Diceros bicornis minor: one gene and its partner. The protein of the gene in region 1 purifies or fractionates together with the protein of each later gene. This does not show direct contact. Links are inferred from orthologs where the notes say so. Each region holds a gene or a part of one and is shown on either strand. Other genes may lie near its edges.

What was found.
Region 2: the proteins of NLRP3 (region 1) and USP50 purify together in Homo sapiens (affinity purification with western blotting; 3 studies listed by BioGRID). This does not show direct contact. The link is inferred for Diceros bicornis minor from reciprocal best matches to the Homo sapiens genes NLRP3 and USP50.

Annotation. Positions count from the first base shown.
Region 1 is NC_080740.1:930,967-942,145, reverse strand, and holds the start of NLRP3 (NACHT, LRR and PYD domains-containing protein 3), read right to left. Parts: upstream 5,525-11,179; 5' UTR 5,471-5,524; intron 3,788-5,470; 5' UTR 3,728-3,787; exon of another isoform or gene 3,561-3,727; 5' UTR 3,517-3,560; coding exon 3,243-3,516; intron 138-3,242; coding exon 39-137; intron 1-38. UniProt on the Homo sapiens protein: Sensor component of the NLRP3 inflammasome, which mediates inflammasome activation in response to defects in membrane integrity, leading to secretion of inflammatory cytokines IL1B and IL18 and pyroptosis.
Region 2 is NC_080744.1:46,742,199-46,753,915, forward strand, and holds the start of USP50 (inactive ubiquitin carboxyl-terminal hydrolase 50), read right to left. Parts: upstream 5,221-11,717; 5' UTR 5,185-5,220; coding exon 5,000-5,184; intron 4,730-4,999; coding exon 4,534-4,729; intron 2,464-4,533; coding exon 2,257-2,463; intron 726-2,256; coding exon 583-725; intron 1-582. UniProt on the Homo sapiens protein: Deubiquitinating enzyme that removes conjugated ubiquitin from specific proteins to regulate different cellular processes. Regulates the inflammasome signaling pathway by deubiquitinating 'Lys-63'-linked polyubiquitination of the PYCARD/ASC adapter protein.

The DNA of each region.
Region 1 (11,179 bases):
CTCCAAACCCAACTGGAACTCCCACCCTCATGGCTTACCTTTCTTTTTTTTACAAATAGAGATTCTGGAGAGGTACCCCAGTAAACCTATCCATTCCTCTTCAACACTTTCTTCTTGGCATATCACATGCGAATGATCTGAAAATAAAAGGAAAAAGATACAAAATGTCAAAACCCAGGACTCCTGACTAAGGTGATGTGATTGAGACCCAATACCCAACACCGGGCACAGGTCAGAGCTCCTGGCTGGACCCCTCCCAACCAGCACACGGCTCAGAGCTGTGGCTGACAGGAGGGCAGGTGAACACCAGCTGAGGGTGTCCCTGCCATCCTAATTTCAAAGCAGTGGATGTCACCCACCCAGCCAGCATTGTGGCCCCTCTTATCAAGTTGAGGAATCGCTCCCCCAGGCCTGGAAATCACTGGCAGGCAAGGCTTCCCTCACCTCCTTTGTCTTTGGGAGACTCCCCTCACCACCCCACCCTGCTGGGGTTCTGGTTTTGAGGCCCTCCCCACGCTCTGCAATATCCCCAAGATGGCCACGGGCCAGCGGGAGCATCCTTCCCTGACCTCAAACGCCTGGAATTCATCTTACCCACATTCTGGGTCTCCCAAAGTGAGAATCTGTGTCTAACTCAGCGGTTCAGAATCCTGGCTGACATTAAGAAGCTTTAAGAGGTGGGGCCCAGGCACCACTAAGTTTTAAAAGCTCCAACATGCATCCACAGTTGAGCATCACAGATGTAAACAATCACGAAATCACATATTCCAAAGAGGCGTCCACAGGAGAAATTTAGGCATGGTAGGACAAGAGTTGGCACAGGGGAAACACATGGGCAGAGAACCTGAGGAGGGCAGGAGACCAAGAACGACATAAAGGACTCCTGGTAGGTGTCTACTTATTCTGCGGGCAAATGGTATTGGTAACCCAATCACAAAACAAAATGGCTTGCTGCACTTACACAGTGAAGGCAAAAGTTCATCTGAAAGTGCCGGCCTCATGGGGTTTGTGTGAGGAATGAACAAAATCCACGAAACTGCCTGCAAACGACTTCTGCAACCACAACCGTCACCCTTGACTGTGGTTGGTGAGTAGCAGGCGCTGACGCAGTTATGGTTGTACTATTACAGCAGTTTCTCCAGAGCACCCCACTGCCGTGCGCCCCTGCCTCGGGTCCTGGGCATTTTTCTCCCCTTCTTCATACCCACGTTGCCTTCCCGCCTCATCATGCTTCTCCCCAGCTACCAAGCACTTTTACTCCTCCTTCCCACCAGCTCAACATCATCATCCTTGAGGTTCTAGATCCTTCTGAGTCCTTCCTTGTGCCCCTCCCTTGCTCAGAACACCAAGCTTAAGGAAGAGCGTGTTGGGGCCGGTCCCGTGGCGTAGCGGTTAAGTGCGCGCGCTCCGCTCCTGGCGGCCTGGGTTCGGATCCCGGGCGCGCACCGAGGCACCGCTTCTCCGGCCATGCTGTGGTGGCGTCCCACATAAAGTGGAGGAAGATCGGCACGGATGTTAGCTCAGGGCCAGTCTTCCTCAGCAAAAAGAGGAGGATTGGCGTGGATGTTAGCTCAGGGCTGATCTTCCTCACACACGCACAAACACACTAAATAAATAAATTTAAAAAAAAAAAAAAAAGAAAGAGCGTGACCCCGAGCATGCCCACAGGATGCAGGAAATTTCTTTCACCATTCCAGTGCCCAAAGTCATGGCCACAGGAAAGGCTTTTCTGTGAGGTGAGAGCTGGCCCCCTGAGCCATGGGAAGCAGACACTCAAGCTTGCTGGCTGTGCAGACAGACACATGAGGAGCTGGATGAGAGATTCAGATAAAGTGAAGCTAAACAGGGGAGGTTCCTAGGGGTAGATGAGCCCTGACGTGGGGTTTTAAAGGAACTAGAAAAAAGCAAAGTGCTTTCCTCCATCTTCTCATAGTACCGTCATGAGAAGAAGAGAGAGGATGAAGCCAAGATAATAAAAGAATTGATTAAAAAACAAACATACTGGGCTGGCCCCGTGGCGTAGCGGTTAACTGTGCGCACTCCACTGCTGGCGACCAGGGTTCAGATCCGGGCACGCACCAACGCACCGCTTGTCAGGCCATGCTGTGGCGGTGTCCTACATAAAGGGGAGGAAGATGGGCACGGATTTTAGCCCAGGGCCAGTCTTCCTCAGCAAAAAGAGGAGGATTGGCAGATGTTGGCTCAGGGCTGATCTTCCTCACAAAAACAAAAAACAAAAAAACACCAAACATACTAGCTTTGACACATTAAAGGAAACTATCAACAGAGTGAAAAGGACCCCACGAAATGGGAGAAAATATTTGCAGATCATACATCTGATAAGAGGTTCATATCCAGGATATGTGAAGAACTCCTACGAGTCAACAGCAATAACAACAAAACCCAATTAAAACATGGGAAAAGGACTTGAATAGACATTTCTCCAAAGGTAAACAGACGGCCAACAAGAACATGAAAAGACACTCGATGTCACTAGTCATCAGGGAAATGCAAATCAAAACCACAATGAGATACCATCTCACACCCCATACGATGGCTACTATCCAAAAAAAAACCCCGTAACATACTTGTTGGCGAGGATGTGGAGAAGTTAGAACCCTTGGGTGTACACTGTGGGTGGGAATGTGAAATGGTGGAGCCACTATGGAAAATATTATGAAACATAGAATTACCATATAATCCAGTAATTCTACTTCTGGGAATATACCCAAAGGAAATGAAAGCAAGGTCTCAAAGAGATTTGTACACCCATGTTCATAGCAGCATTGTTCACCATAATCAAAAGCTAGAAGCAGTCTGAATGTCCATTGATGGATAACAAAATGTGCTACATACATACCATGGAATATTATTCAGCCTTAAAAAGGAATGAAATCCTGTCACATGTGACAACATAGATGAAGCCTGAGGATATTATACTAAGTGAAATAAGCCAGACAGAAAAAGACAAGTACTTTATGATTCCATTTATAAGAAGTCTGCGGAATGATCAAATTCATAGAGACAGAAAGTGGTGTTTGCCAGGGGCTGAGGGGAGAGGCGAATGAGGAATTGTTGCTTAATGGGTGTGGAGTTTTGCAAGATGAAAAAGAGTTCTGGAGATTGATTGCACAACAACGTGAATGTGCTTAGCACTACTGAATCATACACTTAAATACGGTAAATTTTAAGCTACATCTATTTTATCACTATTTTAAAAATACCTTCTTGTTTCCACTCACCCCACTCTGGCTCATCCCTCTTAGCTTTCTCGTGGAGGTCTCTCCTGTTGATCGCAGCAAAAATCCACACTGCCATGGCCCACGCCTTCTCCTGCCCGTTGAAGTCAATCATCAGGGTGGCGAGATCCACAGGATCTGCTTTCTCTGTTTGACCCCGAGGGAGCGGGGTGCCCTTCTGAGGAGGATAGTCTTCCAAGTGCATCTTGAATTTCTTCAGGTCTGCGTCCTCCAGGTCCTCCAGGTAGCGCGCCAGCTTGCAGCGGACGCCTGCCATGCTCTCCTGCAGCCCTGGTCAGGCAGCTTGGGCATACGTCCACACTGGGAAGTCCGGTGGTGAAAACAGCATATGGGTGAGGAACGTGTTTTTAAAAGTCCACCCTGAAGAGAACTAAACTATCAAAAACCCAGAAGACTGCAAGGAGGAAACATCACTGGGCTGTAACAAGTCGCCATCTTTGGTTTTGAAATGTGAGCCAAATACTTACCAGAAACTTTCCTGCCGGCTCTGCCCAGGACTGTGTCCTGAGCCATGGAAGAAAGTTTCCCTGTGGAGAGAAACAATAATTAAAACCACAGACTGGACCGCATTAACAGCATGATGGAAGCCCGCACTGCTTCACGGCGCCACCTCGACATATGGCCGGGGGCACCTGGTCCCACTGGTTACTGGGCTATGACCTCTGACAAGCTCTTCACTGTCCCTCACCTCAGTTTCCAAGTCTGTAAAATCACGGAGTGGGAAGGATGGCCTTTAAGTTCCTTCCAATTGAAAGACTCTGCTTCCTTGTTTCTGTTTTGACCCGAGGAAAGATGGATGGGGGATGAAAGAAGGAGGCCAGGGAATGACTGTGGTGATAGCAGAGCAGTGCACGGCTAGAGACAGAGGGAGAACATTGAGGCAGGCGGAGGAGGGGCTGCTCTGCGACTGCTCTTCTATCAATCCACTGATTGACGGAAACAGAAATGAGACGGGGCTTGGGGCGCGTAGGGGGAAGAGTGGAAACATATCCCTCTTTAATGTCTCCTGGTAAAATCTGTAATTGTGATAGGTATTAGAAAGGACATTTACGGAGAGCTTCTCGTGGGCTGGGCACTGCACTGATGCTTTTCCTCATCTAACCTCCCAAAGCCCTACGAGGTGCCTCTATTCCTAGCTCCGCTTTATGGAAGTAGAGACTGTCTTAGAGACGCTCAGAGAATTGCCCAGAGTTTCGCAGCCAGGAAGGGGCGAAGCCAGGATTTAGACCAGGGTCATCCGTTTCTGAGCCCACGCCGCTGCCCCTGCACTTTTCACAGCCTGAAAAGATAGGAGACCATTTCTTCCACCACTTAACTGTGTATCGTAGTCAGATAGAAACAAAAGTGATCAAAGACAATAGAATATACCATTAAAAGGAAAGCGTTTATCACACACAGCTTCTCACTGTGGCGTCCCCCACTCCATTTTCCTAACCGGACTTCAAGTTCCCCAGAGAGTGGAAAGCTGCTGTGTCTTTCAGTCTGCCACTTCAACTGGTTTTGGACAGATGAACACGCTGGATTTGTTTGGCCTTGAGTGCTTCGTATTCCTGAATTTGGAAAAGCACATCAGCCAAAGCCACCGATGATGCTAACAGGAGGCAGGGGCGCTGTGAAGCAGTGGAGCAAAGCGGAATTTATAACGACCACGGTCTGACGTTTGAGACGCCTCAACCACACTCATCTCTCCTTCTCCTATCGCCACTCGTGCCGCTCCACTCCTGGCCTCGCACAACCCCAAGTCTACCCCCTAATGTATTTGGTGGGGGGTCGAGGGGTCTCCAGACAGATCCACCAGCTCTGCAGACCCTCCCAGGTCCTGCTCCATCAATCTCTCATCCACAGCAGGACTCCGCCTCTCTGTGCTCCCCTGACCTTAACCCCAGTGCACTCTGCCCTGACGCTTACCCCTCTGGGCCTTTGCCTCATTTCCCCACACACGTCTCACCCACCCGCTCCCTGGTGGAATGCTGGAGTCATGGGGTAAGCCGTGGTTGCTGCCCGTGTCCTCGGCACCCCCCCAACACTTGCACACATAGAGTCCAAATGATAAACATAAAAGAACATTCCAGAATCATTGTTGGAGGACAGACTTGGAGGCTGGCAGAAGAAATCCCAAGTCCGTTAACCAAGGCGAGTCTGGCCCTCGACACCCCTCCCCATTATTCCCCGGCCCTTTCCGTCATCCTGCTCCGTGGAGCTGGACTCACCCAGATGTGGTCTCAGGAACAGCCGGAAAGGAAACTTGATGAATTTATAGCGGTCACAGCCCAGCAGGGGCAGGAAGGATGTGGTCTCAGTGTGGACTGAACGCGCTTGCATCACAGGCCGAGGCAGAGACTGAGGGTGACACACAGCTCCGGGTTTTCCAAACCGAATGCACAGTGTTTTCAAAGTTGAGCCTGGTGGTGGCTGGAGAAGTCTGGCCTCTGCTTGGTGGCCGTCAGGGCAGGGAGTGGGGGAAACTCGGTCAGTGCTTGAGGGGTGTTCCCTCTCACTCTCACAGCAGCCATGTGAGCGTGGTAGTGACAGAAGAGAGAGTGCAACGGGGGATCCCCCAGGGCGGGAAGTAGAGCGAGAGCTTGGCCCAGCGTCCAAGCACGGAGCCCATGCCCTTTCATGCGTCACGTGGAGGGGTCAGCAGGAGGTACAGATGCTCTCATCACCTCTTATTTATTTATTTTTTTTGTGAGGATGATTAGCCCTGAGCTAACATCTCTTGCCAATCCTCTCTCTGTCTCTCTCTTTTTTTTTTTTGCTGAGGAAGACTGGCCCTGGGCTAACATCTGTGCCCATCTTCCTCTACTCTATATGGGACGCCGCCACAGCATGGCTTGACAAGTGGTGTGTTGGTCCACACCCAGGATCCGAACCTGCGAACCCCAGGCTGCTGAAGCGGAGCACACAAAGTTAACTGCTATGCCACCAGGCTGGCCCCATCTCTTATTTTTTTTTTAAACCATCTTATAGAGGTAAGTATGCACCTATGAACCCATCACCACCGTGAACCCATCACCACCGTGAAGGCCATAAACACGTTTATCACCACCCAGACTTTCCTCCCACCCACCCCTTTGTTATTATTGTTGTTATCGTTATTATTATGATGATGTTGTGTGTGTGGTAAGAACACTTAACGTGAGACCTACCCTTTTAGTGGACATTACGTGAACAGGACAGTGTTATGGACGACAGGCTCTGTGCCGGACAGTCGCTCTCCAGGACTTAGTCATCCTGTGTGAAGGAAACTTCGTGCCCTTTGACTAATGGCTCCCCTTCCTCCCTCTCCCCAGCCCTGGCAACTGCCATTCTACTCTCTGTTTCTATGGGTATGACTATTTTAGATTCTTCATATAACTGATATCGTACAGAATTTGTCTTAGTTCACTTTACATAATGTCCTCAAGGTCCATCCATGTCGTCGCAAATGGCAGGATGTCCTTGTTTCTCATGGCTGGATAATATCCCATTGTGTATGTGTATATACCACATCGTCTTTATCCGTGCTTCCACTGATGGACACTCAGGTCGTTTCCATACCTTGGCTATCGTGAATAACGCTGCAGAGGACATGGGTGTGCAGACAGCTCTTCGGGGTCCTGATTTCAATTCCTTTGGGTAGGCACAAACTCTACTCCCTGACTCACGGCCTCACTGGCTCAACCGACACCTGTAGAGTACCTGGTGTGTTCCAGGCACAAACACAAGGCTGAAAAGCACCTTGCCTTCCCCAGGAGGAGCTGGAGGAGAGAGAAGCACCAGATCTGCTTTCCTCGCTCTGGCAGTGGCTGCAGGACCATGCTCTGACAATAGCATGACTTCTACAGAGTTTGGAAGGCAAGAGGCGCCCAGCACCCCAGGCAAGTGCAGGAACCCTGGAGCGAGAAGGACAGGTGTCCAAGTCCAGCAGAGGGGCGTTGGCAAGTGACTGTCTCTCTGTGCCTCGGTTTCCTTATCTGTAAAGTGGGGACAACAATGGCGCCTATTGTAAAGAGTTGTCATAAGGACTGAGCAAATAGATGGATATGGGGCCTTTCGAACAGAGAAGCTGGTGTTGGTGGTTGGTCCTGGTACTACTGTTGTCAGAGAATTACATGCAGAATGCTCCAAGGGGGGAAGAGAGGCAGTGGCTCCTCCTGAAGCCAGGGTGGGACAGCAGAGCTGAGTCTCAAGGTCGTCAGGGGCAGGGTACACGCAGGAGCAGCCGGGACGCCAGGTGCTGAGCCCGCAGAGAGCAGATCAGTCAGGCTCAAAAGGAAAGGAGCTCATTGGCTGAACCAGGGATTCTTTCTCTTTTTTTGAGGATGAGGGATCTTTTCCTTTTTCCTTTACATCTTTCTACAGCATTTGAATTTTTATTTTTTTGCCATGAACGTGCATTACTCATAAGAGTAAAGAAATAAATTAAACAATAAGTTAAACCAACTAACACTGCGTCTCTAGAGTAGGCCCTGAAAGAAATCCTCACGTTTGAATGATCATCAGAACGTCCCGTGAAGGCGGCAGGCACGGCTGAATGTCGTTTTACAGACGAAGAAACAGTCGTCGGTCAGAATTAGGTCTTTTTAAAGATCCAGGCAAGTGGTCAGTGGTGCGATTGATGCTTGAACTTGAGGCTTCTGGCTTCTAAGATGAGATTTAATTTTTCATTTCCAAATGATCAAAACAACTAATAGTGAATGTTTTTTCCCTCCTAGAACAATTACAGACTTTTCACACTTTCCTGTCTGGCATACATATCATTCCTTTCTAATACAGCGAACGGTTAGGCTGCACTGACCTGTAGTTTATGCTTTAGAGCTGTTGACTGCGGACTGTTGCTGTTTGTATTCGGCTGAGCTGAGTGAGGCAGGTCATTTACTTGAGGTACACATCCAGCCTTTCTCACGCGCAGGTCTGTGAGTTCTCACAAGCACGGTCGCCACGCAGCCACCGCCACAGTCGAGACGCAGAACACCTCCATCGCCCCCAAAGTCCTCCTTGTGCCACCGCACGATCAGCCTCTGTCCCCACCCAGATGCTGGCATCCACGGGCCAGCGCTCTGCCACTAAAGTCGTGCCTTTTCCAGGGAGTCACGTAAGCGGGATCCTGCGGCCGCAGCTTGTCCTCAGGTCCGTTCACCCCTTGGGGCGCACATGAGCTGCGTGCCTGTTTTGTCGGTGGGCTTTGTTCCTTCTTGTTGCTGGGTCAGCCAGTGGAGTGGACGCATCACAGGGTGTTTATCCACGCCCACACATTTGGGCTGTTTCCAGTTTTTGGCAATTGTCAGTAAAGCCACTATAAACATTCAAAAACAGATTTTTGTGTGAGTATGTTTTCACTTCTCTTGGGTAAATACCTAAAAGTGGAATGGCTGGATCATGTGGGAAGAGTATGTTTACCTTCTTAAGAAACTGCCAAACTGCCAAGGTGGCCACACCATTTTGCGTTCCCACCAGCAATGCACCCGTCTCCAGTCCCCGAGCCTCCTCCCCAAGCACGTGGCTGAATCAGTTGTGTTTTATTTGTTTAAGCCATTCTAATAGGTTTGTAGTGAACTAGGGAATTTAAGCAATGTTTTGAAAAATTCATGCAGCTGAGCTGGTTGCAATTATTTAAGGGCATCAGTCACAGGGAGGCTCGGGAGAGAGACGTGGTGCCCGGCTGTCACCACCCTGACACCCAGCTGCATCTCTCAGCTGGCCCATTCCCTTGGCTGGGAGGCTCAGATCAAACAATATCTGACAGAACGAGCAAAGCAGAAAGCAGTGTTCAGACACTGCTCCAGAATTTTGGAAAGATACTCTAATCATGTATGAAAACTAGGCAAGGGCCGGCCCCGTGGTTTAGCGGTTAAGTGCACGCGCTCCGCTACTGGCCGCCCGGGTTCAGATCCTGGGCGTGCACTGATGCACCGCTTCTCCAGCCATGCTGAGGCCGAGTCCCACATACAGCAACTAGAAGGATGTGCAGCTATGACATACAACTATCTACTGGGGTTTTGGGGGCAAAAAAAAAAAGGAGGAGGATTGGCAATAGATGTTAGCTCAGAGCCAGTCTTCCTCAGCAAAAAAAAAAAAAAGAGGAGGATTAGCATGGATGTTAGCTCAGGGCTGATCTTCCTCACACACACAAAAAAAAGAAAACTAGTCAAGAAAAAAATCACCATGTTTTGTGTGTTATTCTGCACTCTGAAAAAAATTCTGTTCCAGATGTGAGAATATCAAAATCAACACAAATAATAAACAAGGAAGGTCACAAAAGTACAACATAATGACTACCCTTCACACACGCCCCCTCCGAAGAAGCCTGGAGAATGACAATTTAAAATTGTGCCCTGAAGAAAAACAATTACGCCATCAACTCCTGAAGCTCCTTTTGTAAAGCAGAGGGGAACTCAGGGCACTGGGTTCCAAACCCAAATTTGCCACAAATTCTTGCTAACTGAATAAACGACAAGACACCAAGAAAAAGTCCACCTTGGGAAGCCAATGACTGTGTAAGCTACAAAGACAATAGCCACTGAAGGGTGAGGGGAAAGAAACAGGGCAGGGCGGACATGCTTCCCTCACTCACCTGCAAGTGCCAGGGACCTGGACAAGCCCCGGTTCCCGGGTGGGAGCAGAGTGAGGAGGTGCCAGAAGGGTGCTCTAAACCCCAAAATCCAGACATGAGACGTGAAAGTGTAGGGACAAAGTGTAGGGACAGAGATCCAAACATTTCAAGTCTATTGGAAGTTCTATTGGAAAACCCAAAGCCAGGCAGCGACAACAGTGCATGACCCCTGAATCCTGCATGGGTCACTGGGCCCGAACGCCTCCAGACTCTCACCCAGCTACCGGCCCCGAGCCCCAAACCGGGTACAGCATGAGAGCTGATCCCCCCGGGGCTGTGGGGAGGTGGTCTCCCTTCTCCTACATTCGTGGGGACCAGGCACAGTCCTGCCCTGGCACAAAGGTTCTCTTAGGCTGCAGAGATCGCTGCCACTTTCTGTCTGTCCAGCCTGCACTGACCAACACAGCAGCCACCAGCCACATGTGACCACCTGGGGGACCTGCTCCCCCCCCTCCCGTTAAAGTCGGTGCACATCGCAGAGCAGAGTACCTGCTTAGCCTTTTGCAGTTCACATCTTGACGTGGATGAGAAGGCATGGGAGAAAGATTGGCAAGTAGTGGGAGAGAGGAGAGAAAAGGAGCATTGTTTAAATTCACTAAAATCCACCATTCAGTTCCAGCTGCACTAGCGGCATTTTAAGGGCTTGACAGCCACATGTGGGGACAGCACAAAACAGGACACATCCATCACTGCAGACTCTCACTGGTCAGCCCTGATCTGACTCCTCCTGTCGCCTGGAACGGCTTCCTGGAGTTAATTCCTCGTGCTTGGAAACTGTAAAAAATTCCCAGCAGAATATTATTCCATCAGACATTAGGTGAGTTGTCGAAGGTATAAACAGGATTACCTGTCTTTAAATAGATATGTGCACTTATTGGTACATGCGTAGACAAATCTGAAGAGCTGTGTTGAAACCACAGTCTGCAGCAGGAGCACACAGAGGACCTTTATTTTCTACATTAACACAGAGGACTTGTGTTTTGTGTATCATGCTTTTCTGTGTTGATTGGCTTTTTTTCCAACAAGCATATATAACTTTGTAATTAAAAATGAAAAAAAAGAGTGCAGTATCAAGTTAGCGGGATTTTGGTGCCCTTGACCTAGGACGATCCTGACATTGGGCTTCCCGCCCTCCCAGCGTCCTCAGTACACCGTCTTCCATCTGACCTTGCTCCTTTTCTCTCCTCTCTCCCAATACCTGCTAATCTTTCTCCCATGCCTTCTCATTCACGTCAAGATGTGAACTGCAAAAGGCTAAGCATGTACTCTGGTCTCCGAGGAGCACAGAATTTCACGGGATTGGAGCAAGTCCCACAGGTGGTCA
Region 2 (11,717 bases), on another chromosome or scaffold:
AATCCCAATGGTGGCTCCAGGGAATTTATTTTTTAAAATCACTCAAAGTGAGTGCCAAATGTGCATCAACAGATGAATAGATAAAATATGATATGAATACAATGGAATATAATTCAGGCGTAAAAAGGAAGGAACTTCTGGTACACCTCACAATGTGGATGAACCCTGAAAACATTAGCCAAGTGAAATAGGCCAGCAAAAAGGACAAATATTGTATGATTCTTCTTATATGAAGTACCTAGAATAGACAAATTTATAGACACAGAAAGTAAGTTCGAGGTTACCAGGGGCTGGGGAAGGAGGAATGGCGAGTAACTGCTTAATGGTTACAGAGTTTCTGTTTGGGGTGACAAAAAAGTTTTGGAAATAGGGGTGATTGTTGCACAACATTGTGAATGAAATTAATGCTGATGAATTATACACTTAGAATGGTTAAAATGGCAAATTTTGCTATATATATTTTATCGCAAATTTTTAAAAATTAATGTAATATACCAAATACCATTCAATTGCATGGTATGTAACTTGTATCTTGATAATATTATTCAAAAAAATCTGCTCACAAAATGTCAAAATCCTTACCTTTTTAAGTGAAAGATAACTATTTTTGGTGCTTTGGAAATACTGGCCCTCACAGCTGTTTCTTGCTTGGTTTCACAAAAGGAACAGTGAATTCGGTTGTTCCAGGTCAGTGTGTCTTGTTGAAAAAAACACTGGAGGCAGTCCTGTTGGGGAAAAAAGCATTTGGTCACCAAATCAGATCACCTGCACCCTGGGCTCTCTGTTTATATGAGAACTTTGGAAGAACTCTGGCAATGTAATTTGACTTTTCTCAAAGTCACCAAGCCCAGGAGACAGCAATGTCACAGCTGCAGCCTGGATAGGCGTTAACACCTACCTGGCAAAGGAGCTGCTTCCTTCTCATTTAGTTACTGAAATGGATCCAAGTGCCCATCTCACTTCTAATCTCTGAATCAGCATTGTAGCGTTTCTGGTTTATTTCAGAATATTGACTGTGCAATTTCCACCAACCAGTCAGGCGGCTGCTTTTCGCTATTCACCTCATCACAAAAGTGATCTGGTGATTGGAAAAGCACCATATCTCAGAGTTTGGGGTGACCCATAATAAAAGCAGCAGAACAGAGAGAATTAGAGCCCATGCCCGCAGGAGACCTCCTCAGTGTAGCCAGGCCCCCCGGCTCTGCACACCATTAACCTAAAGAGGAAGATGAGCATAGATTCTGTTTTCAGTAGACATGCCAGCACCTCATTTAGTCTTTGGAATTCCTTTCCAGCAATCTTGAGCAGTCTGATCTGAGAACAAAGCCCAGTCTGAATAAGCAGTAGAATTCTATTCTCCAATTCTGGTATGTGAAAACTTTTAGCAAGAGATATGCTTTCATAATTTAGGAAGAAAAATATAAGTGTGTATTATTCTGTGAGGCTCCCTGCCTCCCACCTGTTCCCCGTCTTCTACTGCCGACCCCCCCACCCCCCCTTTACAGATGAACTTTTTTTTTTTGCTGGGAAAGATTCTCCCTGAGCTAAAATCTGTTGCCAATCTTCCTCTCTTTTTTTCCCCCTCCCAAAAGCCCCAATACATAGTTGTATATTCTAGTTGTCAGTCCTTCTTTTTCTTCTATGTGAGCTGCCACCACAGAATGGCTACTGACAGATGAGTGGTGTGGTTCCACGCCCCGGAACCAAACCCGGGCTGCTGAAGTGGAGCATGCCAAACTTTAACCACTAGGACATCAGGGCTGGCTCTATAGATGAACTTCAGGTATTATGGTGAAGAAAACTCAAGAAGTAAACTAAGGCACTAGATTCTATTCTGTCTTCCCAACACATTTCACAGCTTTTGTCAAAAATGCAAGACCTCAAGATGATGAATCTTTTATATCTAGTTCCCAATCTGGGCCTACAGACCTCTGAGGTGAGGAAAGGCCATCAAATTTTTGCCAAAAAGTACAAATTCCCTATATGCACCAAGCCATCTCAATAGACTGAAGAAACCCCACTATCTTTTCAGTTTTACAATGAGGCTGTTTTATTGAGTACATTTTGAAATACAACTAAATTCACAGTAATTTTTGTCTGCGTGTGACTTTTCTATAAAACATTGTCATCATGGGCTTCCAATTTTTTTTAAGTTATAAAGCAGCCCCCCTCATACTAGAACATGTAGGAAACAGCCCTGAGGAAATCCTGGGGTAGAGCAAGACCATGGAAGTATCCAGGAATAAGGATGCCCACCTGAAGCGAGCACTGGGATTCAGATGGAATGGGGAGGGAGAGGACGGTGAAGACTTCGTTCTTGTAGGTGCAGTTCTCACACTTCAGACAGGTGACCCTGTAACTGAGCTGCCCTTCGAACAGCCGGGTGATGATGGAGGTCTCACTGGCGATCGCCTTCCTGCAGCATCTGGGAATAGATCCTTTCTCATATGACCTGCCGTGGTACTGAATCAAAGAACAAATTCGCTCCAAATCAACTATTGATTATCAAAAAAAAATTTTTTTTTAATGATTTTATTTATTTATTTATTTTTCCCCCAAAGCCCCAGTAGATAGTTGTACATCCTTCCAGTTGCTGTACGTGGGACGCGGCCTCAGCATGGCCAGACAAGTGGTGCATCGGTGCGTGCCAGGGATCCGAACCCTGGGCCGCCAGCAGTGGAGCGCACGCACTTAACCGCTAAGCCACGGGGCCGGCCCATCAAAAAATTTTTTAATGTTTAAATTTTTTCTATCAGAATGATACATTGCTACCAGAAAACATTTAGCTTTGGATTCAGACAATAAATAGAATAAGATCTCTTAAGAGCATATACTGTGTGTGATATCTGATAGTTCAGTTATTTTCCCCCTTAAGTGCAGCTGAGGAATGATTACACCCTAACTCTTGTAACCCGTGCCCATGGCCCCTTAAGCTGATAGCCTGTGATAATGTGATATAAGGTCCTGGAGCCAGTTTTTCCCGGGAAGAGGGTAGTAAGCTATTAAACTAGCTTTCAGTCGTGCAAGTTGATCTAGAGGTAAAATAAAGGAATCTGATCTCTCCCCCAGTCCCTTCAAGTTGTGTTCCCTAGCCTCCCCTTTCATTATTAGTTAGGAAACACTTCTGTAAAAGAGCAAATCTTAAGTTCCAAAGGTAGCTTGATTTTTTGTTTTTGTTGTTTTTTTTTTGCTGAGGAAAATTGGCACTGAGCTAACATCTGTGCCAATCTTCCTCTACTTTGTATGTGAGTCACTGCCACAGCATGGCCGCTGACGAGTGGTGTAGGTCTGTGCCCAGGAACTGAACACCGGCCGTGGAAGCAGAGTGCACTGAACCTAACCACTAGGCCACGGGGCCGGCCCAGGCAGCCTTGTTTAACCAGCCTTGTGGCCTGGTTTGCATCTGGCTCACGTGCAGGAACAGCATTTCCGGGAGCACACCCTGACTCGGTGATTTTACAGCCTCCGTAGAAGACACGCTCGCTCTGCGTCAGCTCTGATCTGGAGCTGTACACATGCTCCCCTCTGGCTTGCTTCTGTCGTCACACCCTGTGTGTTCCACCCTGACAGTAATTTAATGCCCCTAATTCCGAGTTTGGTTTGGGAACCAGAATGCTATCTACTTCAGAGTGGCTGCAGATGAGGACTGAGTGATTTTTACTGACCATCACCCTCCCCTCCGGCCCACAAAAGTGCTGCCGTGATTATCTCATTATTAGCAAACATGAAAACTGCGGACTGCAGATGAGAATGATTAATGGCTGTAGTTAGTGATCTTGCTGTATTTCCTGGATGTGAGGTATGAGGGGAGATAACATCAGCACAAGGACCCTGCATAAAGTCAAGGACATGTCTGTGGAGAGTGTGGGTCTCTCCACAGATCAAGGCTGACGGCAATGAGTCTTGCAAATAAAGACAAAACCCGTAGTAACTGGCGATTTCATGTTTTATTAAATGTCTGTCCTAATCCAATGAAGAACTCAGATTAGGCAGGTTTGGGATGAAGGTGAAACTTTGCAGTATATAGATCTGTCCTTTCATCTAATACCAAGCTTAATATTTTCCTGGGTGTGTAGTTACCAAGAACATTTATTTTAAGTTGTAAATTTCTATATGTTATATCTCGTGAGGAATATATTTTTATAAAAAATGTGATTTCCACTTTAGAAAAACAGTCCATGCAGCTGTTATTTGCAAAGGGAACTCGATTAGTGGTTCCCACACCTGCTGATCACTGAAAATACCAAGTAAGCTTTCCCAGAAGTCACCACCAGACATTCTAATTCGGTAACAATGGAGTGCGGGCCTTAGAATCTGTGTGGCAAAAATCTTCCCAGGTGATTCTGATGACCAGCCACGTTTGGTAAATATAGACCTATTCAAATAGTAACTTAAGTGTTCCCCATCGTACCCCCAGCACCTGTACCTGGCACAGTGTATGCCATATTGACTGAACAAATGGAAGAATGAAAAATGAAAGTTGCTGGTAGAGTTGAAGATCTATCCTATTTCAACGCCATTAGTTCGACTTACCTTTTTCAGAGCCTCATGAAGCTCATTCAGGACATGAATCAAGAATTCCTGAGCATCTTGCTGTGTCTTTTTCATAAATGCCGGGTAGAGGTTGCCAAGAGCTGACCGAAATATTTCTGGTGAGACGCAGTCTGCGTCTCCAAGCCACATGTCTGTCATCACGTAGGCAAAAGCAGTGGCAACCTCACCGCAGTCCCTTGGAAGAAGGAAGGGGAGTGTTTCTGGCTGATTTAATAAAAAGAAGGCCTCTGAAAACCCAAGCATGTGGCACCAGACCAAAAATGAAGCTTCATTCTCTCTTGGTTGACCTTCCTGCTTTACTCACACTAGAAATGGTACCTGGGGCGCTGCAGCCTCTGCTGACTCATGTAGCTGGTAAAAGGGACTCCAGAGGGTTCCTTCCCTACCCTCACCTTGGGGGAGCCGGGACTGGGGGCTGGGCTGCAGGGAGCGCATGTGGTCTTACTTTCGAAGAGCGGTAATGTACTTTCCAGAGAGAAAGTATTCCACCAGTGGCGAGATGCTGCAGAGACACTGTAAGATGGCATTCATGTAGCATGTGTTGCCCAGGTTCCGCAGGCCAGTCACACCCTGGAAATGGGACTGGTTCTCATCAGCCTCGCTACCTGGAGAGGTGTCAGAGGGATCCATGCACTCTGCGCTGTGTTGGTGCCAAGTGGAAAGAAAGGAAGGCATTTTGAGGGACCCAAATATGTACAAATGACGATAAGGCCCTCTCTACCTCATGACACAAAGGAGAGTTCTTAATAAGACTTCCGTCCAATACACTCCCTACCAAGGACTGAAGTATTTGAACTTGAAGTCTAAAATTGCATTATTTAGTCTGGAACTCTTTGAACAGGGCCTGCAGCCAAATAAGCAGAGATCAAAGTTTCTTCCTAAAACCAAAGCCAGAGGACAGAAAATGTCAGCTTTTCAGAGTCCCCAGAATTGCTTGGCTAAAAATGCAAGCTTTCTCTGTAAATACCAAAGTATTTCCTTTATTGCTGGGCAAGTAATTTAATTGTTATTACTAGTTATAATAACAATAGATAGTAGTTATTAACAATAGCTATCATGTACTGAGCCTGGCACTACATTAAGTATTTAACATGGATTGTCCCATTTAATTCATTCAACAATTCTCTGGGGTAGGTACACTTATTTTTAAATCCTGTTATACAGATGAGATGTCATGTTTAAGTGGCTTAATCATTTACCCATGGTAATGTACTAAGGGATAAGCAGTGGTATGTAGAGAGGATTATTTATCTACCTACCTACCTATCACCTGTCTGTAAAGAGTTATTTGGGTTTATATATCATATACTAAGAGTGTATATGTGTGTGTGTGTATACACATACATAGATAAGGCATCTATACATATTGAGAGCAAATATATACACATATTAGGAGCATATATACATATATTAAGAGCACATATATGTGTGCGTATACATACATAGAGAGAGAGATAAAGAGCACAGACTTCGTAAAAAATATATCTTAATTAAAATCATGACTCTGCCACTTAGTAGTTACATTTTCTGGGACTCTTCTGTCTGTTTCTCATCTATAAAATAGGAATAATGCTACCTGCCTTATAGGGTTGTAGTGAGGATGAGATTAAACGATGCAAGGCACGTGGCACAGATTACATAGTTAATAAATGGTAACCTAAACAAAATTTTAAAGAGGTGACTGATGTAGGATGTCCTTCACAGTCAGCTCTAGAATTTGGGCGTTCACGTGAACCAACTAGACCTGCACAGAGGAGAGAACGCCACGGGCTTCCAAGGAGTCCTCCTCTCCCTACGCGGAGCTTCCTTTGGTCATTTGGCTATTGTGCCAAGCAGCCCAGCCTCTTTATACTTTATGACTTTTCTTTTCAGCTACAGTTTCTAAAATTGGGTCTCCATGAGATGGCTGCATCACCTCAGTCCCTCTACTTACACTTCTGCCAGTTTGAAAGTGCTGTTAGTTACATGGATGGTCATTTTCACTCTTACTCACCGAAGTAATGGGAGGCCCTGGGCTGTCATTCTTTAGGAATATCTATTGCCTTCCTTTTGGGGGACCTCCAATGGGTCAAACCTAAGGGGACCCTTCCAAATGTGGCTCCCTGACTCCCTGGAGCGTGGCCTCCTCCTGCCCCCCAGCTCCGCTTATCTAGAAAGCTGTAGTAGACAGAGGCTTACAGGACATAGTAGATGCTGAAGTCATCTGCAGGGAAAGGCTGCTGCGAAGTCATTTTAGTGAAACCACGTTGGACTTTCTATTCAGGAGCTCTGTCTAATCCTTTTAACTTCATTTCTCCGAGCCTGTTACTTTGGCTCTTTTTGTTTGTAATAAACAATTTATATGTTCCTCCCTCCTTTCAGTAGCTGCACACTGACTTTTATATCTACTTCAGCACATTCCAATTTGGATTTTTCCATGCATCATAATCTTTTCCATTCACCTTCAAGATTCTAGCATGTTGCCATGAGTTACTGTTACTTGGTTGCTTAAAAACTAGATTGATTTCAGAGAATGAATTGAACATATAACCTCTCTTCTTCCACCACTCAGTTTCTCTTGTGCATAAATAGTACACACATCCACAGAAGATTGACCTCCACTAAGTCAGTGGAGACTCTGGCAACCCTGCCCACTTTGAGCATTCATCCACCCTCCCAGAGATCGCACAACTCCTAGGACCCTGAGGGAATGTTTCCTACCGTGGGGAGGGAGGCAGTTGAGTTTTGCTGCTTCCAAAAATGCATAGCATTGCAATAGACTGGAGTATTTCCCTTCATGGTCATCAACTATAGTGCAAAGAGGGTGCAGACACACACACATGCACACACACGCACACACAACCCACTAGTGCCACAGGGCAAATATAAAGGGTCTATCATAGAAGATTTATAAGATGAGAAGTAGCAGAGCACATATGATCTCCTGATCTCTCATTTTCTTCATAGAGAACTGTGCTTAAGAAAGCACTTCAGGGGGCCGGCCCCACGGTAAAGCAGTTGAGTTCTGCGCATTCTGCTTCAGGGGCCCAGATTTGTGGGTTTGGATCCCAGGCGTGGACCTACACCACTCATCAGCCATGCTGTGGCAGTGACCCACATATAAAGTAGAGGAGAATTGGCACAGATGATAGCTCAGGGCTAATCTTCCTCAAGGAAAAAGAAATGAGGAAGATTGGGGTAATCTTCCTCAGCAAAAAACAAAAAACAAAAAACACTTCAGTAGAGAGGGAATCCCCCTCAATGACCACCCCCCACCCCATGCTCTATCCAGGTGAAAAGGGGTCAGAGAACATAATCAATCATGTAGCAGTGAGAGCAGCCTGGGGGAGTAAGTGGTCTTGTCTGGAGCTTCAAGCTGCCACCAGCCTGTTCTTCCTTTGTGCTCAAAATCTGTAGGAAGAAGGTAAAGAAAGAGCCTTTTGGGCCAATCCAATTTTTCTCAACCCTGCATCAAGTAAAATGAATGAGGTAATAAAAGAAAAAACCTTTTCAAAAATGTAAATGTCAGGAAAGAAGGCTGAGAGCTATTCTAGATTGAAAGGAGACTAGAGAAACAAGACAATTAAATACAATACCCAATCCTGGTTGGGATCCTGGATCAGGAAAAAAATTGCTATAAAAGAACATTATTGGGACAATTGATGAAATTTGAATATGGATGATATATGAATAGTTTTGTATCAATGTTGAATCTTCTGAATTCTATAAAATGGTGCTCTGTTTATGAAAGAGAATGCCCTTGTTCTCAGGAAATACACAATGAAGGATTTAGGGGTGAAGGGGTATGATCTATGCAACCTGCTCTCAAATGGTTCAGGAAAACACGCACAGACCCAGACCCACATGAGGAAAGGAAGGAAGCAGGAGCAACAGGGCAAATAGGAAGCAAATGCAGCCCAGTGTCAGCAGTTGGTGCATCCGGGCGAAGGTGCTTGTACTATTCCTGCAACTCTTCCGTAAGTTTGAAATTATCTCAACCTAAAAAGTTTAAGAAACGAGAATGTACTAAATGTGCTTGTAATATGGATTGATCTCTGAGATATATTACCGGTAAGTCAAAAAAGCAACGTGCTGAAGAGTCCGTCTATAGTATGCACCCCATTTATGTCCAAATGGTTGAAAAAATGAACATACATGTATGCTCAGGCCACACAAAGACATTAAGGATAATCATTCTTTGACAGCGGGATAAGGGATCCCAGCCACTAGAGGTACCAACTCTTGCAGCTATTTGATACCTGCGGTCTATTTACGGAGGTGTTTCTTGAAGTCACCTCAGAGGTGATTCTGCAGAACAGGAATCCTATCATCCCACTGCTTCTGTCAGTAAAGTTCTCCCAAGTTCTTCAGTTTCTCCTAATCCATGGAGTCTTTTTAAAATTTCATTTTATGTTTGATGCTGGTAGGTAAAAATACAATTCATATTCATATGTTGGTCTTGTATCCAGGAACCTCTTTAAACTTAAAGTCTTTTATAGAGGTTCTTTGGATTTTCCATAAACACATTCAAGTCATTTGAAAAAAATCCATCTTATTTTTTCCTTTCCAATCCTTATGCCTTTTATTTCTTACCTTTTGAACTAGCTAGCACCTCCAGTAAAATGTTGACTAGAAGTGGGGTGAGTAGGTATTCTTAGCTCATTCCTGCATGAAGAGGGAAAGCTTTGAATAATTCACCACTAAGTAGGATGTTTGCTAAAGGCATAATTTTTTTCAGAGTTGTAATCATAAATGGATACTGAGTGTGATCAGCTGTTTCTGTATCTTTTAAGGTAATCATGAAATTTTTCTTCATTATTCTGTTATTGTGGTTAATTATTGATGATGGTCACATTTTAAACCAATCTCCTATTCCTTGAATAAACCTATCTTGTTTGTGATGTAGTATCATTTTCATGAATTGGTAGATTCTATTTGTTAATCCTCTGTTCAAGGTTTTTGTATCTATGTTCATGAGTAAGGTGACCTATGTATTAGTGTTCTGTGCTGCGTAACAAATTAGCACAAACTTAGTGGTTTAAAACAACACACTTATTATCTCAGTTTCCGTAGGTCAGAGTCCAGGCCTGGCTTAGCTGGGATCACATGTCGCATTTAGTTCTCACGTCTTCTTAGGGTCCTTCAACCTGAAACAGTTATGTACCTCCTTGATTTTCAATAACTTGACACATTTGAAGATTATTGGCCAGATATTTTGAAGAACATCCCTCAGTTTAGGTGCTACACAATTTTGATTTGTTCCAACACTGGGGATGTTAACTGTAATCACTCAAATAAGTGGGGTCTGCGAGGTTTCTCCACTCCAACTTTTCCCTTTTGTAACCAGTATTTTGTAGGGAAGATTTTGAGACAATATCAATGGTCTGTTCCTCATCAAACTTCCACACACTAGTTTTTTTTTTTTTTGGTTTGTTAGACCACTTTTCTTGTTTTCAGAAGGGATCACCATGATGGCTGTAGTTTCTGAAATATATTTCTAATCTGCTAAATTATCAGGGCTCAGCTGTAGCATATTTACTCCATTCACAAAGCCTCCATGGAGTACATACAATAGCTCACATTAAACAATAATTAACATTTATAACTATAACTTCATGGTTTATAGAGTACTAACTCATTTGGTATGTCTTAGATCTGTACATCAATTCTGATGTATTAGGGAGGAAGTTACAGCTCAGAGAGTTTTTTGGCTTTTTTGGCTTTTTTTTTTAAATTATGTCAGACTTAAAGAAAAGTTGCAAAAGTAGTACAAAGAATTCCTATACACCTTTCACCCAGATTCTCCAAACGTTAACATTTTACCACATTTGCTTTATCATTCTCTCTCTCATTTTTTTGTGAACTGCTTGAGAGTAAGTTATAGACATGATGAATACTTCAGTGTGTATTTCCCAAAAACAAGGACACTCTTACATAATCACAATATAATTATCCAGATCAGGAAATTAACCCTGATAATAGCACTATTATCTTATCTATAGACTTTATGTAAATTTTGCTAGTTGTCCCACTAATATAATTTATTTTAAAAGTAAATAAATAGTAAGACATTTTTTTTCTGGTCCACCATCTAATACCAGATCAGATGTTGAATTTGCCTGTCATGTATCTTTAGTCTCCTTTAACCTGGAAGTTTCTCTGTTTTTCTTTAACTTTTATGACCTCGACATTTTGAAGACTATGGGCCATTTATTTTGTAGACTGTCCCTCAATTTGGATTTGTTTGATGTTTTCTTGTGATTAGATTCTCGCTATGTGTTTTAGCAGAAATTGATGTTGTTTCCCCCTCAGTACATTGTATCAGAAGCATGTGGTCTCTATTTGTCTCTCTACTGGTGATGTCTACTTCAGTCATGTGGTTAAGATGGTCTCTGCCAGGCCTATCCACTGCCAAATTACTATTTTTTTTTCTCTTTGAAATTAATAAATATCTTATGGATACTTATTAGATACTTGGAGACTATGTAAATATTCTGTTTTTCATCAAATTTCTACTGTCTAGTTTTAGCATTCAATGATGATCCTCGCCTAAAACAGCTATTACTGCAGTGGTTGCCAAATGGCCATTTTCTTTTTTTTTTTTGCATGCAAAAATATCTTTTTTTTTAATATTGTGAAATTTTTGTTGCACATTATTGTTTATTCCACACACTAGTTTTAACATTAATCGATGTTGCTTCACTGGATTAATTATCAACACGGTGGTTGCCAAATGGTGAATGCCATTATTCCCACTACATTTATCAGTTGTTACTTTACCATAAAGAGACGTTTCCTCCTGTTTTTATTTAGCATTTTATTTTAATCAGTGTGGACTCATGAATTCCTATTTTACCCAGTGGGTTATAATCTGTTATTAATATTATTTATTTTTGATGTACAAATTGTCTCAAGATTAGCCAGGAGGGGCCCTTCAAGATGTTTTCTGTATTTGTTTGACATGTCCCCATTGTTCTTTGAGCACTTAACTTTTTAGCACAGCAAGATCTTCAGATTTACCTTGTACCATCCGCACCCCAGTCCTGAAGTCGGCCATTTCTCTAAGAGCCCTGGTTCCTTTTAGAGGAGAATAGTATTTAAAAACCAAGACCTGGGAGCTAGGTGTGCTCATGCTATTACAGTATCACAGCTTCCCATTTTCTTCCACTTTTCCTTATTTGATC